3 linked regions of the Drosophila melanogaster genome follow. The protein of the gene in region 2 interacts with the protein of the main gene of each other region in a pairwise test. Each region holds a gene or a part of one and is shown on either strand. Other genes may lie near its edges.

The links.
Region 1: the proteins of E(spl)m8-HLH (region 2) and ato interact in a two-hybrid assay, tested with the Drosophila melanogaster proteins (one study listed by BioGRID).
Region 3: the proteins of E(spl)m8-HLH (region 2) and Hr78 interact in binary tests that used the Drosophila melanogaster proteins (3 or more experiments, as listed by UniProt).

Annotation. Positions count from the first base shown.
Region 1 is NT_033777.3:8,276,072-8,279,777, reverse strand, and holds ato (atonal), read right to left. Parts: upstream 1,727-3,706; 5' UTR 1,653-1,726; coding exon 714-1,652; 3' UTR 504-713; downstream 1-503. UniProt on the Drosophila melanogaster protein: Developmental protein involved in neurogenesis. Required for the formation of chordotonal organs and photoreceptors. Seems to bind to E boxes. Specifically required for the photoreceptor R8 selection.
Region 2 is NT_033777.3:26,038,653-26,041,508, forward strand, and holds E(spl)m8-HLH (enhancer of split m8, helix-loop-helix), read left to right. Parts: upstream 1-1,587; 5' UTR 1,588-1,671; coding exon 1,672-2,211; 3' UTR 2,212-2,356; downstream 2,357-2,856. UniProt on the Drosophila melanogaster protein: Participates in the control of cell fate choice by uncommitted neuroectodermal cells in the embryo. Transcriptional repressor. Binds DNA on N-box motifs: 5'-CACNAG-3'. Part of the Notch signaling pathway.
Region 3 is NT_037436.4:21,493,516-21,499,465, forward strand, and holds Hr78 (Hormone-receptor-like in 78), read right to left. Parts: upstream 3,980-5,950; 5' UTR 3,776-3,979; intron 3,669-3,775; exon of another isoform or gene 3,628-3,668; intron 3,507-3,627; exon of another isoform or gene 3,393-3,506; 5' UTR 3,345-3,392; coding exon 3,305-3,344; exon of another isoform or gene 3,227-3,304; coding exon 2,906-3,226; exon of another isoform or gene 2,878-2,905; intron 2,354-2,877; coding exon 2,084-2,353; intron 1,966-2,083; coding exon 791-1,965; 3' UTR 504-790; downstream 1-503. Other genes in the region: CG7519 (uncharacterized protein), read left to right, coding at 1-267; Glg1 (golgi complex-localized glycoprotein 1), read right to left, coding at 4,700-4,977.

The sequences.
Region 1 (3,706 bases), about 18 Mb from region 2:
GATTTTCGGGGCTCGACTGGGACTTCCACTGGGATATGAAGTTGCAGAGGTTCCAGGGACAGCGACGGACAAATGGACATACGGACAAGCGGACATACGGACATTGCATGCGACCTGCGACTGCTGAAAGCAGATCAGCCCAACACTTAACTTAATTTGGCAGCTACAGTCCGGCGCGCCGTGCCGTGTAATTATCGTCCGCTGCGTATTTGTTTTGGCCAACCCGATTAAGAGGGGCCCTAATTTTGTCGAACTGTCTACAAATTGATCGCGAAGCGCCAAATCGATCACCTTCCCCCATATAATAAAGTCCAATTCACTGTGTGAGAATTGATGCCCCGCCGATAAGTGTGGATATCGAGGATTGGGGAAACAGAATTGTTCAGAGATGAAAGGATTTGGATGGCTTGGAATTTTTGTATTTATCATTTTGCATCTAGGAATTGTTGCATAGCTACTAAAACTGTTAGAAAGTCCCCGTTAACAAAAAACGAACATATGTTTTAAATTATTAATGGTGCTTTTATTTTGTCTTCCTTAGTCTTAATCATTGTCTTCCATTTAGGCTAATTAACTAAACAATAAACAGCATAATACTTAAGCGGTAATTCACTACTGGGCTCCAGGCAATATATACAAAGTAGCTACAACATTTGGCAAGCTCCAACAATAACTGAGAATAGTACTTGGGACTGGGATCGGGATCCGGGAATTCAGCGCAGCAGATCCCCGAGAGCGGATATGTAGGTCTGGGCCATTTGGAGGGTCTCGTGTTTGGACAGCTGGCGATCGTTTCCCAGACAGGGAAGGTACTGGCGGAGACGATCGAAGGCCTGGTTGAGGTTCTGCATCCGACGACGCTCACGTGCATTGGCGGCCAGGCGACGCTTCCTCTTCACGACGGGTGTGATCTGCTTGCCACGCCTCTTCTTTCCAGAGCCTCCGGCAGCGGCATCTTGGTTCTCACCATCGGCCAAGTCAAAGGATCCATCATTGCCATCGAAGTCCTCACCGCCACTGAAGAGCATGAGGTCCTCGTCATCCTCGACGCTGTCATCGAACAAGGCGGAGTTGTCAAAGTCAAAGTTCTGGAACTCCTCCGTGTAGAGATTCACTGAGGCAGATGACTCCGCAGCTGCAGTCGGTGTGGAGGTGGCGGTGGTGCTTGGCTGGTTCTTCTTGGTATAGCTACGCTTCGGTTTCGGACCTGCTGAGGCTGGAATCGTTTTGCAAGTGCCCACGTTGGAGGAGCCCATGACCTCCACTGCCGGAGGAGAGGCCACTGGAATTGCAGGCGCTGTGGAAACAACAGACTGCTCCATAATCATTCCGTATTGTTGGTTCTGGGCCATGTTGTTGCAGCCTCCATTGTACATGGTATTGAGATCCACATACTCGGGACTCTCAGATCGGTGGCTAGCCGGCGAGGAGGAGATCCAGCCATCGGAACTGGCCTGCTCGAAGCTGATGAAGCCATTGGCCGACAAGTAGTTGCTGCTGCTGGCCAGGGTGTTGCCATTGAACTGGTAGTGGGTCACGCCGGGATTGTAGGCTGCCATGGGATTGAAGTACGGCTCGGCGGCGGCTGTCTTGAAGCCCTGCAAGTCCTCGGAGGTCTTGTAGTAGTAGCGATAGATCTCACTGGACGACATGTTGCTGCTGCTGTATGGTGGTGTTATGTTGCTGGATGAAACGATACGAACGCTGCGAGTGCTGGCGGGTTTCTGACTGGTCTCTCGTCCTTTCGGCCCTATTTATACTCACAAATCCACCACGACGGTCAGAAGGGCCTGAAAGGCAGGTAGGGGGGCAGGTAAACGAGTTGCCACAGAAGGCAGCACGTGCCGCCCGAGTGGCACGACCAATGGCAGTTGGTGGTGAGTTGCAGCGGTCTCAGAGAGCCCGGTTATACCTCAGTTCGTTGCGAGCTTAAAATGGCGCTAGAAAACCGACTATCTGGGCATCTAAAGCCGCTAACAAGATGATTATAGGATGGCCGGCACAACCGGAACAGGAATATGGGCGGAAATGTAAACAGAACTTGGACAAACAATCGATTTGAATCCCTAAACGGGATTAAAGTCGACCGCAAAGCGAAGCGAAATTTGCAAAAATCCCTTGGCGATTTGTCAGCACCAAATGGCAGAGCGGGTCTTATGAGTTTATCTAATCTGCATCGGTTGCAAGTGGGTTCGATCTACCTGATCACGGCTAGGGAAATCCTTACAAATCCACCGCCGCCGGGTCATTCGACATGCTTACCCAAAGTCGGGGGCGGAATATCGCAATGAAAAATCTTGTTTATTACAACTTGGCAAATTTTCCAATTGATACGCTTGTTGCCGGTACCATGAAGAAGGTAGATGATAGCGCCGGCCCTTCAAGGACACGCTTGACCGAGTGCCAGGACTGACCTTCACCTTAGCCCTCGTCGTGCCTAATAAGCGTGGCAGGCAGTAACTAAGAGCTGGGTTAACATTTTAGCGCCTTGCAATTAATACGGCCGTGTGTTCGATCGTGAGCAGGGAATTTAGTTGTAGATCCCAGGATGACACAGCAAAACGAAGCGTCCACGGTGGTCCTTAGATCCCTTCGCTACGCCCCTTAATCCTTAATGATTCGCTGGAAATCATAATGCAACGAATTCTACATCAACCACTTGCGGGGGAGTGTTCGGGCATCTTTGAAGTTCCGCGGCCACCCAGTCGCACAACTAGTAGCACGCCCCAAAGGATCTGATCTTTTTGCCGGGCAATAAAAACGCTGTCAATTAGATAAAAATGTCACACAACAAACCGCACCAAGAGCGGCACCACCAATTTATTGGACGCACACAGGCATGTTTGACCTTTTGTCCACCCCTGAGAGACCTCGAATGTCCTGAACGTCCCTCGTGAATGTCCTTCCATGCAATTTACGAGCCACTTGCCGCAACAGACAGTAGTTACACCTGCAATATGTACCTGTGCAGATCGTATCCCTCGGATTGCATCTCCGCTGTAAAGTTTTTCGCTTATCGGCATTAGCCGATGTCAAGGCATCCGCTGCATATCGATTGGGAAATTTACATTTTCATTGCCGCATCGCAATATGCACGTGCTGCCAGTCGAGGGGGCAAAAAGGGTCATTCCAAGTCAAGTCGAGTTCTTTTTTCGCCAATGGTCGGCATCGGGCGCCTTGCGTGCCTGTCAGTTATCGAGTGGCTGATCCCTCACATCGGACCCACATACCTTATGAGTACCAGTACCTCCAATACCTCAGCTCCAGCTCATTGGCATCAATACGCTGGTAACGGGCCACTTCTTTCATGTCAATATGCATAAATGCAACTTGGCCATCGATGGGAATGCAACTGATGTGGAGCAGCTTCCAGAAAGCGCATGACAAAGCCAATTGAATGGGTATGAATCTGCTTGGGTGAAACATGAAACACTCTTGTAGTCATATCCAAATCATATTCTTATATTATCCTAGAAAAACCAACCTGTATATTCTTGAGTGTAATATAATATGGTGAATGTTATAATTGTATATTGGGTTTTTTACTAAACTCTCAAATCATGTATTAGTTACTTAGGCCATTAAACTATTGACGCAGTAACTAAATTAATTTAGTTATTTTCTACATTTTGTTAAGTAACCAAATTGCTGACTAGCCGGCCTAATTCAGTATACTCTTTCCAGGACTCTCTTCGGCATGAGGAAC
Region 2 (2,856 bases):
TAAAATTTATTCTTTTACAATTAATCAATTAAATTACATCACATATTGAGGGTTGCAATAGCATTACGTAAAATCATAGGTAAGTGTATTCAATTCCAAATTCATACCACATTATTAACCTCTGACACCCAAAATACTATAAGAAGTGAGAGTATCCCTCCCCATTACAATAATCAATGACGTTGTTTTCCACCCATAAAATGTCAATATTAAGAACCCTCAAGATTTGTAAGGGAGATATACAAATCCATCTCAATTATTAAGTGAGGAAGTAGCATACCCTAGGCGGTTGCAAGGGAGGGACACAAATCCCATAGGTAGGCATCGATGTCAGAGGTCGATTAGTTTCCTAATAGAAACAGAGTTTATAAAAGTTAACTCGAAAGTGAAATTTACTCAATGGAATTCTAATACACCATACTTGCATGCGAAACCCAAGATTCCGAAACCAAAAGCACTTAATATTAGCTAATTAAAAATGGGTTTAGAAAGATACGCCAGACATTATAAGTTCCTATTAACTAAATTCAAAGAAAACTTTTGTATCCTATGATTACTTTAACAATCTTATTAGGATGAGCCACACATTGAACAAACCACATTTACCATAAGACAAGATATTTGAAAAGTGCACATCAATTAACCGGTGAAAAATTACTAATTACCAATTAGGGGGTTGCAGGAAGTTAACTATGTGCATCCCATAGGTAGACATTCCGGCACAAGGCCCACCTCACCTCAGCCTGGGCATTGAGTACTCAACCTCGGCCACGAGTGTGGCACGCGGGGCACACTTTCTGCGCCCGTTTGACCCACGTCCCCCTGCCAACCACCCAAAAACCCGAGATCAGACAGCCCAAACGATGGAACGATCGAACAACCAAGGCGACCCGGCACGAAGCCAATATGCCACATCCACTAATTGTGTCCAATAAACACTCGTCGACGGGGCACTGTGGGAACGGAAAGAGGAGATCTCAGAGTTCGCAGTTCGGAGGTCGGAGCAGGAGTAGGGGCTTATACAATCATCGTCTGCTGGCATTGATGAAACAATAAGCGAGTAGATGGCACGGCAGGATAACAATGCCAGAGCGGCCCACGCACAAGCAGTTCGGATCCCCTGCCCCTGCTCATCATGCTTCGATCCCATGTACCCATATATGAACGTTCCCATTCCAAACACGACAGGATGAGGCAGTGAAGTATGCATTAAGGATAATAACACCGGCCCAGAAAGCAATGCGAGCAGCCAAAAACAGCGACAGCTGCAAAAATGTGCCCTGATCCTTATACTCGAAAAAAAATGAGAAGCGGAGCGGAGCGAAGCATGTGGCCAAAAGGGAAAACAAACGAGAAAAAATTGTGTGAGAAACTTACTTTCAGCTCGGTTCCCACGCCACGAGCCACAAGGATTGTCCTCCGTCCTACGAAGTTGCAGCTGTTCCTTGTGAAAAAGACAACAACACCGGCGTTTAGCCGTGCGAGCGAAAGAGAGGGCAGGAAAGGTGCGTATCAGAGGGTGGATTTCAGGGACCAGGGAGCGGTATAAAAGGACGGGACCTCGCAGAGCAGAATATCACTCACGATTACGCCGTCGAGCAGGCAGCAACAAGCCGAATACAAAATTTTTCAAAAATTTTTAAAACTACGTAACCTACTACCAAAACAAAAATGGAATACACCACCAAGACCCAGATCTACCAGAAGGTGAAGAAGCCAATGCTGGAGCGCCAGCGACGTGCCCGCATGAACAAGTGCCTGGACAACCTGAAAACACTTGTCGCCGAGCTACGAGGTGATGATGGCATCCTGCGCATGGACAAGGCCGAGATGCTCGAGTCAGCGGTGATCTTCATGCGCCAGCAAAAGACACCAAAGAAGGTGGCTCAGGAAGAACAATCCCTCCCCCTGGACAGCTTTAAGAATGGCTACATGAATGCCGTCAACGAGGTGTCACGTGTCATGGCCTCCACACCTGGCATGAGCGTCGACCTGGGCAAATCGGTGATGACTCACCTGGGACGCGTCTACAAGAACTTGCAGCAATTCCACGAAGCACAGTCCGCCGCCGACTTCATCCAGAACTCGATGGACTGCTCCTCAATGGACAAGGCTCCGCTCAGCCCCGCCTCCTCCGGATATCACAGCGACTGCGACAGCCCCGCCCCCTCGCCACAGCCCATGCAGCAGCCCTTGTGGCGCCCCTGGTAAAAACAAGGGGTTAAGTGGCAGGAAGGTAAGGGTGGAGTGGCAATGGGAATGGAAGAACCAACCAACAACGCATCTGTGATAGCCCAACTGTGATGGCAACAAAATAGCAAAATTAAAAAAGCAATTAGCAAAACAAATATAAACCAATTTAAACAAATATCAAAACAATTTACTTTATTGGGATGTTGGGAGGGGATCTAAGGGACCAATCCCTTAGTTGGTGGCAATTGGAATCCTTATTGGTAATTAAATTATTACCAATTAGGAAATATCAAATAATATATCTCTGCTCTGACAATGGAAATCTATTTTGGCAATGACCGAAGTGAAATCTATTTTATAATAATAAATATTTATTTATAAATATAAATAAATTATATTTATTTATTTATATCTATTTAATAATAAATTAAATATATTTCACTTAATTAAAATAAAAGTGTTTTAGAAAACTAGCACTGATAATTTTAAGTTTTTTGAATCGGTAATGTCCTTAACGGTTCACAAGATTGAAAATAGCAAATCAGACTGAATAATAATAAACTGAATAATTATTTATTCATTTTTAAAAAGCGCGCCAACTGCACCTGAAGAACATGTACAGATCTAAGTTACGTATTTATTGCGGAACTTTTTTCACTTTTT
Region 3 (5,950 bases), on a different chromosome or scaffold from region 2:
GGCCGGCTTACCGATGATATTCTCAAATCCGCCACGGCGAAGCTCAAGTGGCGCCAGTTCGCCGAGAAGTTTAACAAGTTGGACGATTACTCGTATGGCACCCTGATGCGCGCCGATGCCAGCAGGGAATTCTCCCCGGACAACTCTATCTTCGTGTTTCGCGTCCAGTTTCTGGCCATCGAGATTGCCCGGAATCGGGAGGGACTCAACGATGAGGCTTACGAGAAGCACAAGCCCGCCAGAAAGGTACCCGAAGAGGAACAGTAATCCCTCGCTCTAGCTTAGATTAAGTTGTAAAGACTGGATGCATATTTAGCTGCAGTTCGTCTATCTACTTTAGTAAACAATCAAATTATTTTTATACAAAAAATAAAAATATAACGACCGCCTTTAAATTGTTCCCTACACGTTGCCATTTCTTGACTTTGTATTCTGCTTTCTGCCAATCTGTGGGATGAGATCCACATCTTTAATAAAAATTAGATTAACATTTGATCAAAGTTGTGTTGTAATAATCTAATGTATACATCTCAAAGTTCTGATGCAAACATTCTGTTTAAAAACATATTCGCTTTTATTGGGAAATCGATTCCATTTTATCTGTGAACAACAATAAACCCATGGTTTTATGTTAGAATATTGTATCCTAAACTATATATTGTATATATTAAATATATAATTAATGGGATTTGCCTAGTTGCTACATGTATTGCCCGCACTTGGTCCATCTTCAGTCTTGCTTTTGGGCAGTCTAGCGAATCTGCTTGCGCCCTGTTCTTCTCAATTCCGCCTACAGTCCACTGGTGTTGCTGGTCATCAGTATGAACGGAATAAGAGCATCCATCTGCATCTGCCCCACCAAGTTGGCGAAGAACAGCTCCTCCATGGCCTCTGCGTCCAGGCTGCTGAGCGGAAGAAGGCGAGCCACCAGAACATTAAAGCGCTCCTCGCCGCCGCCGATGCCACCCTGCCTTCTCAAACTTGACAGAGCGTAGAGTTGGACTCTGCGGACGTAGCCTCGCAACGACCGCTCCTTGCGCTGCTGCAAGAGCGTTGGATTGAAGAGCAAGATCAGACGCAGCAAGCCAAACTCCATATCAGTAACATCCAGTGACTGGAGCTCCTGGACAAAGTCGTGCAGGGTCCTGGTGAGATTTGCCATCTTCGAGATCTTCAACGGTTCGATCTTATCGATATCCGCTAGCTGGCGAGTGCTTTGAATAAACTGCCCGATAATGGTGGGCACCGAAAGCTGACCCTGACACTGCGCCAAAGCTATAGCCATTAATGCTGGCCACACTCCTCTCAGGAGTTTCACCTGTGTATGGGCTTCCAATTGTTCGAAAACTGGAACCTTTCGAAGGGTATGGATGGTGAGAAAAATGATTCGCGAGCCCGTCTCACACACATAATGAATATTTAAATACGAGTGGACCAAAGTCGGCGGTTGCACATGAAAGGCACACTGCACATCGGTGAGAAGATCCTGTTCAAAGACCGCCTCATTGATAGCAAAATCGCTTCCACCGCTTCGGTTCCCACCGCACTCAAAGTCTAGTTCCATGTGCTCCAGCTCCGCGTCTACGGCATCCTCGGTGCCACTGTCCTCCGCCTCTGAATCGCACTCGGGCTTCACACTCAGATTACCATTTCGCTCCAGTTGGTTTTGGATGGGCTGCAGGATCTGCAGTCCCTTGTGGATGACCCGCATGTCCAGCGAACTCTGAATAAGCCCCATTGTCGAGGTGGTAGGCAGAGCGGTGGGTACTTCCCCAGCATTAAAGTTCAGGTGCTGCGAGTTGTTGTTGCTGGCGCTGTTGGCGAGCAACTGCAAGCACAGCGTGCTGCTGTTGTCCATTGAGTCGTCCTCGTCATCCTCGGGATCTGCCTTCGGAATATCTGGCGAATAGCTACCACTCTGTTGATGCTGTTGCTGTTGTTGCTGCTGCTGTTGGGTAGCGAACACTGCAAAGTCAATAGGAGATTATTAATGGTGAATTCGTTTAAAAGAAGTTAAATATGGATCAATCATGGCAGTTAAGTATATATGACCAACCAGAATGTAAATCAAAGTTCAACTTACTCAATGTCTGCGTTAGTTCTGCGAAATTCAAACCCATCGGGAATATATTCTCATTCAAATTGAAGGCCGTTGCTGGCGCGCTGTGCACTGGAGGCGTGGCCGCGGATTCGGCCTTTACACTGTGCCCCTTGCCACGCCCCTGCTGATAGCCGGACTTGCCGGATAGGTAGGTGGACGAGCCATTACCGCCGCCAGAAGTGGATGAGCTACCGGCAGCAGCGATGATCCCCTCCTTCCTGTCCACAATCGGTTTCCTCTCGTGCTGCACAGCTGTGAACAAAAGTTGATGAGAACGGAAGGCAATTAATTAGAGCGAGAAGTGAGGTGAGGATGCGGTTTGATGATTTTCAAAGCGAGGTGATGGTGAGTAAGTGGGTGAATTGGTTAATGTTCGTGCAGGCTGGGAATCTTTTGTGCCTCCGCCGCTGCAGTTTTAAGATGTGCAAGTTACTGAAGTGGATATTCACGTTACAGAAGCAAACACTGGGATGCAATTAGATTCACGTGATTACTTGGTGTAAAATGCACTTCACAGACGAAAATTGAATTGAATTCAATTGAAATTGAACTTTCTCTAGATTAGACTATTTATCTTTGAGTCCAATTCGAATTGGAGATCATCCAACCAGTTCTTGATTAAGCTCTGGGAAACTGAGTTCCTGTGAATCGATAACGTTTCATTACTTGTCAGAGTTAAATGCTACATATATGATATCTCCTAATTTCTACAATGCAATTCTGCTAAAGCCTGCTGGAGCACGTAGACTCTGGCCAGGCCAGAGATTGGTTATAGCTTGAGACGACGACTTAAACGAAAATTACAATCACTTCGCATGCCGCTGGCCAGGCACTTCTGTAGTCGACAGAACTGGCACCGATTCCTGTGGTGCTTGGTGACCTCGCAGTTCATAGCCCCGCGACACTGGTAGCCCAGCTGCTTCCGGATCGAGCGCTTGAAGAATCCCTTGCAGCCTTCGCAGCTTATGGCTCCGTAGTGCCGCCCGGAGGCGCGGTCCCCGCACACCAAACACAGCTCCACGCTCAACGTTGCGGATGCTCCGGCTCCCATTCCCACGCCGCCTCCTGGCAGAGGAGTGCCGCCTGAGGCACTGCCTCCTCCGATCAAGGGCATCGCTCGGTTTTCTGCAAGGTCAGAGGGCAATGGCAACAGTCGCGTTAGAATGGGCTCCAAGGTGGCATGGCTCGGGTGATTGGACTCACCTTCGCTTTTGATGAACGTCTCAACCTTAACGCCGTCCATTGTCGCCACAGCAGGCGGCTAAAAAATAGTCGTCGGCTGTATAAATAACTGAAACCCAAACATCTTCACATATGTAATTTAAATTTTACTTGCAATATAAAGTAGAGAAGAGATAAATATGGAGTGTGTCTAGAATAAAGGAATTACGAGCCGAAAAGAGAGGTATGAGGTGGTTAATTCTATCACAAAATATATTTATATAGTAGATAATAATAATAATAATAATAAATGTATTATAATATATTATATTGATGTTTTCAAAAAATAAATCATTGAATTTTACGCAATATAAAACACCGTTGCTGCTGCCAACAAAAGTGCTACTATTTTGGACGCAGCTGTAGCTAACGTAGCCAGAGCTATTTTAATAGAACCTGTTTTGGCTGCATCTGTGTGGGTGCCTGTGATGTGAATGAATTGGTCTTGCTTACTTGGCTCTTTGAAAATTCTTATTGGACGTCTGTTATCACCATTCTTGAGCTTTTAAAAACATCTATTTTTCGAGGCACTTGGTTAAAGTTATGTTACTTCCGGTCAGTTACGATATTTTCAGGCACTTTGTGCCTATTTTGAACCTTTTCTAACGCAATAAAATCTCCTTGTTCCAATTCACTTGCGAGCAGTGTGACCGCAGTTGGGCTCTTTCAACATACCATCCGGTCCCATATACTAAAAAAAGGCAGCTCATTGTGCAAATATACCAAAACACCTGTAGAGCTACAGTTCGTTGAAATTGTAATTTTTAACGTAAAACAAAGGATAATAATAGAATTACTAATATCAATAATAACAAAGGCGTGTCTAGGGTACAAATTAGAGTCAAGCTTAATCAATTAACACAAATTTTAATTCTCATAAGCCCACAAGGACATAATATTAAATTTTATACTTTGAGTTACCTTGGCTATTTGATTAAATTGATAAGCCTATCCCAAGTTTTTACTTAACTTTTGTACTCAAAACTAGGCGCTCTGCCGTATTAGCGCTCTGGTATTGATCCAAAGAGAAACATCTGTTGATGCCTTCCATGTGGATATAGTTAAAAAGAAGGGGCTTTTGTTTACAAAAATACAATTTAATATACAAGTGAAATTGTTACAAAAAAGCTATAACGAAAAGAGCCCTAAGAATGGAACTAGTATATTTGATTGTGTTCTCCTTTCTCGCGTATTTTTTGGTCTTACAAACGACTAAGCCACAAATTGCTCACACAAATATCGAAAGGCAGACAGGGTTGAGTGAAAGTATACTTCTGGGTTTCGGAATGGGGTCATGGATGGGCCGAAATGGAAATCAGCAAGCTCACAAACATGCACACTCCGCCTACACAGTGCCACTACAGTCTAATATTTCAATTATTTATTCTTTAAGCCCATTGCCCGTTTGGTGGCCCGTCCCAGGAAGATGCCGGTGAGGAAGACCAGGCCCGTGGCGCTCATTAGTATCACAAGGAAGAATTTCCGCGCCGGAGAGGCGACGACTTGTTGCACTAGCTGCTGCACATCCTCGGGCGGAAGCGCCAACGTGTCGTCTGCGTTCCTGAACATCTCTATGCGTCGCTGCAGCTTTTCTCGGCAGTCCGCCTCTAACGAGTTCGGCGTATCCTTCAGCAGCGTCCTTAAGCAATTAAGTTCTAGAACATAGAGAGAAAAACATTAATTATTATATTTATAACCACACCAACCACACACACACACACACACACACACACACACACACACACACACACACACACACACACACACACACACACACACACACACACACACACACACACACACACACACACACACACACACACACCCCCCTGCACCAAAAAGGAATGTTCAAGAAATTTCATAATTTGCTGCCTATCACGTAACTTCCCGTTGTTTATTTACACTATGTACTGTTCTTATTCTCTTAGTCAATCTGCCTCCAATTATATCGATCTGCTTCAAATACATAAGCTGTTTGATAGGTGCTTTCACTAAGAGTTTCCAGTGTAGGAAGAGGAATTCTACTATCTGCCCCCCCTGGCTGATGGCCTGGCCAAAGACCCTAGAATAACAAGATGCGTAACGCCATACGATTTTTTGGCACACGATTTTTTGGCCGTGGCTCTAGAGGTGGCTCCAGGCTCTCTCGAATTTTTGTTAGAGAGCGAGAGAGCGAAGAGCGCTACAGCGAACCGCTCTTTTCTACGCATACAGTGATAGCAGACAACTTTATGTGTGCACACGTATGCTCATGCATTGTAAATTTGACAAAATATGCCCTTCACCTTAGAAGTTCTTTGGCTTTAAATCTATATTATTTTTGATCAATTGGCACCATGCGAAAAATTCTTGTTTTGCATTGCCTTAACGTTATTATTATTTGAAAATAGATTAGAAATAGTCAAATCTATGTACATATTATCACAAAAATAAATTTCAAAAATGACTTTATATAAGAATATTTGTCATTAGAGTATTCATCTTGCGGCGTGTGAAAAATTAATAAGGCAATGATTGTTGAGTCAAAGACCCTAGAATAACAAGATGCGTAACGCCATACGATTTTTTGGCACACGATTTTTTGGCCGTGGCTCTAGAGGTGGCTCCAGGCTCTCTCGAATTTTTGTT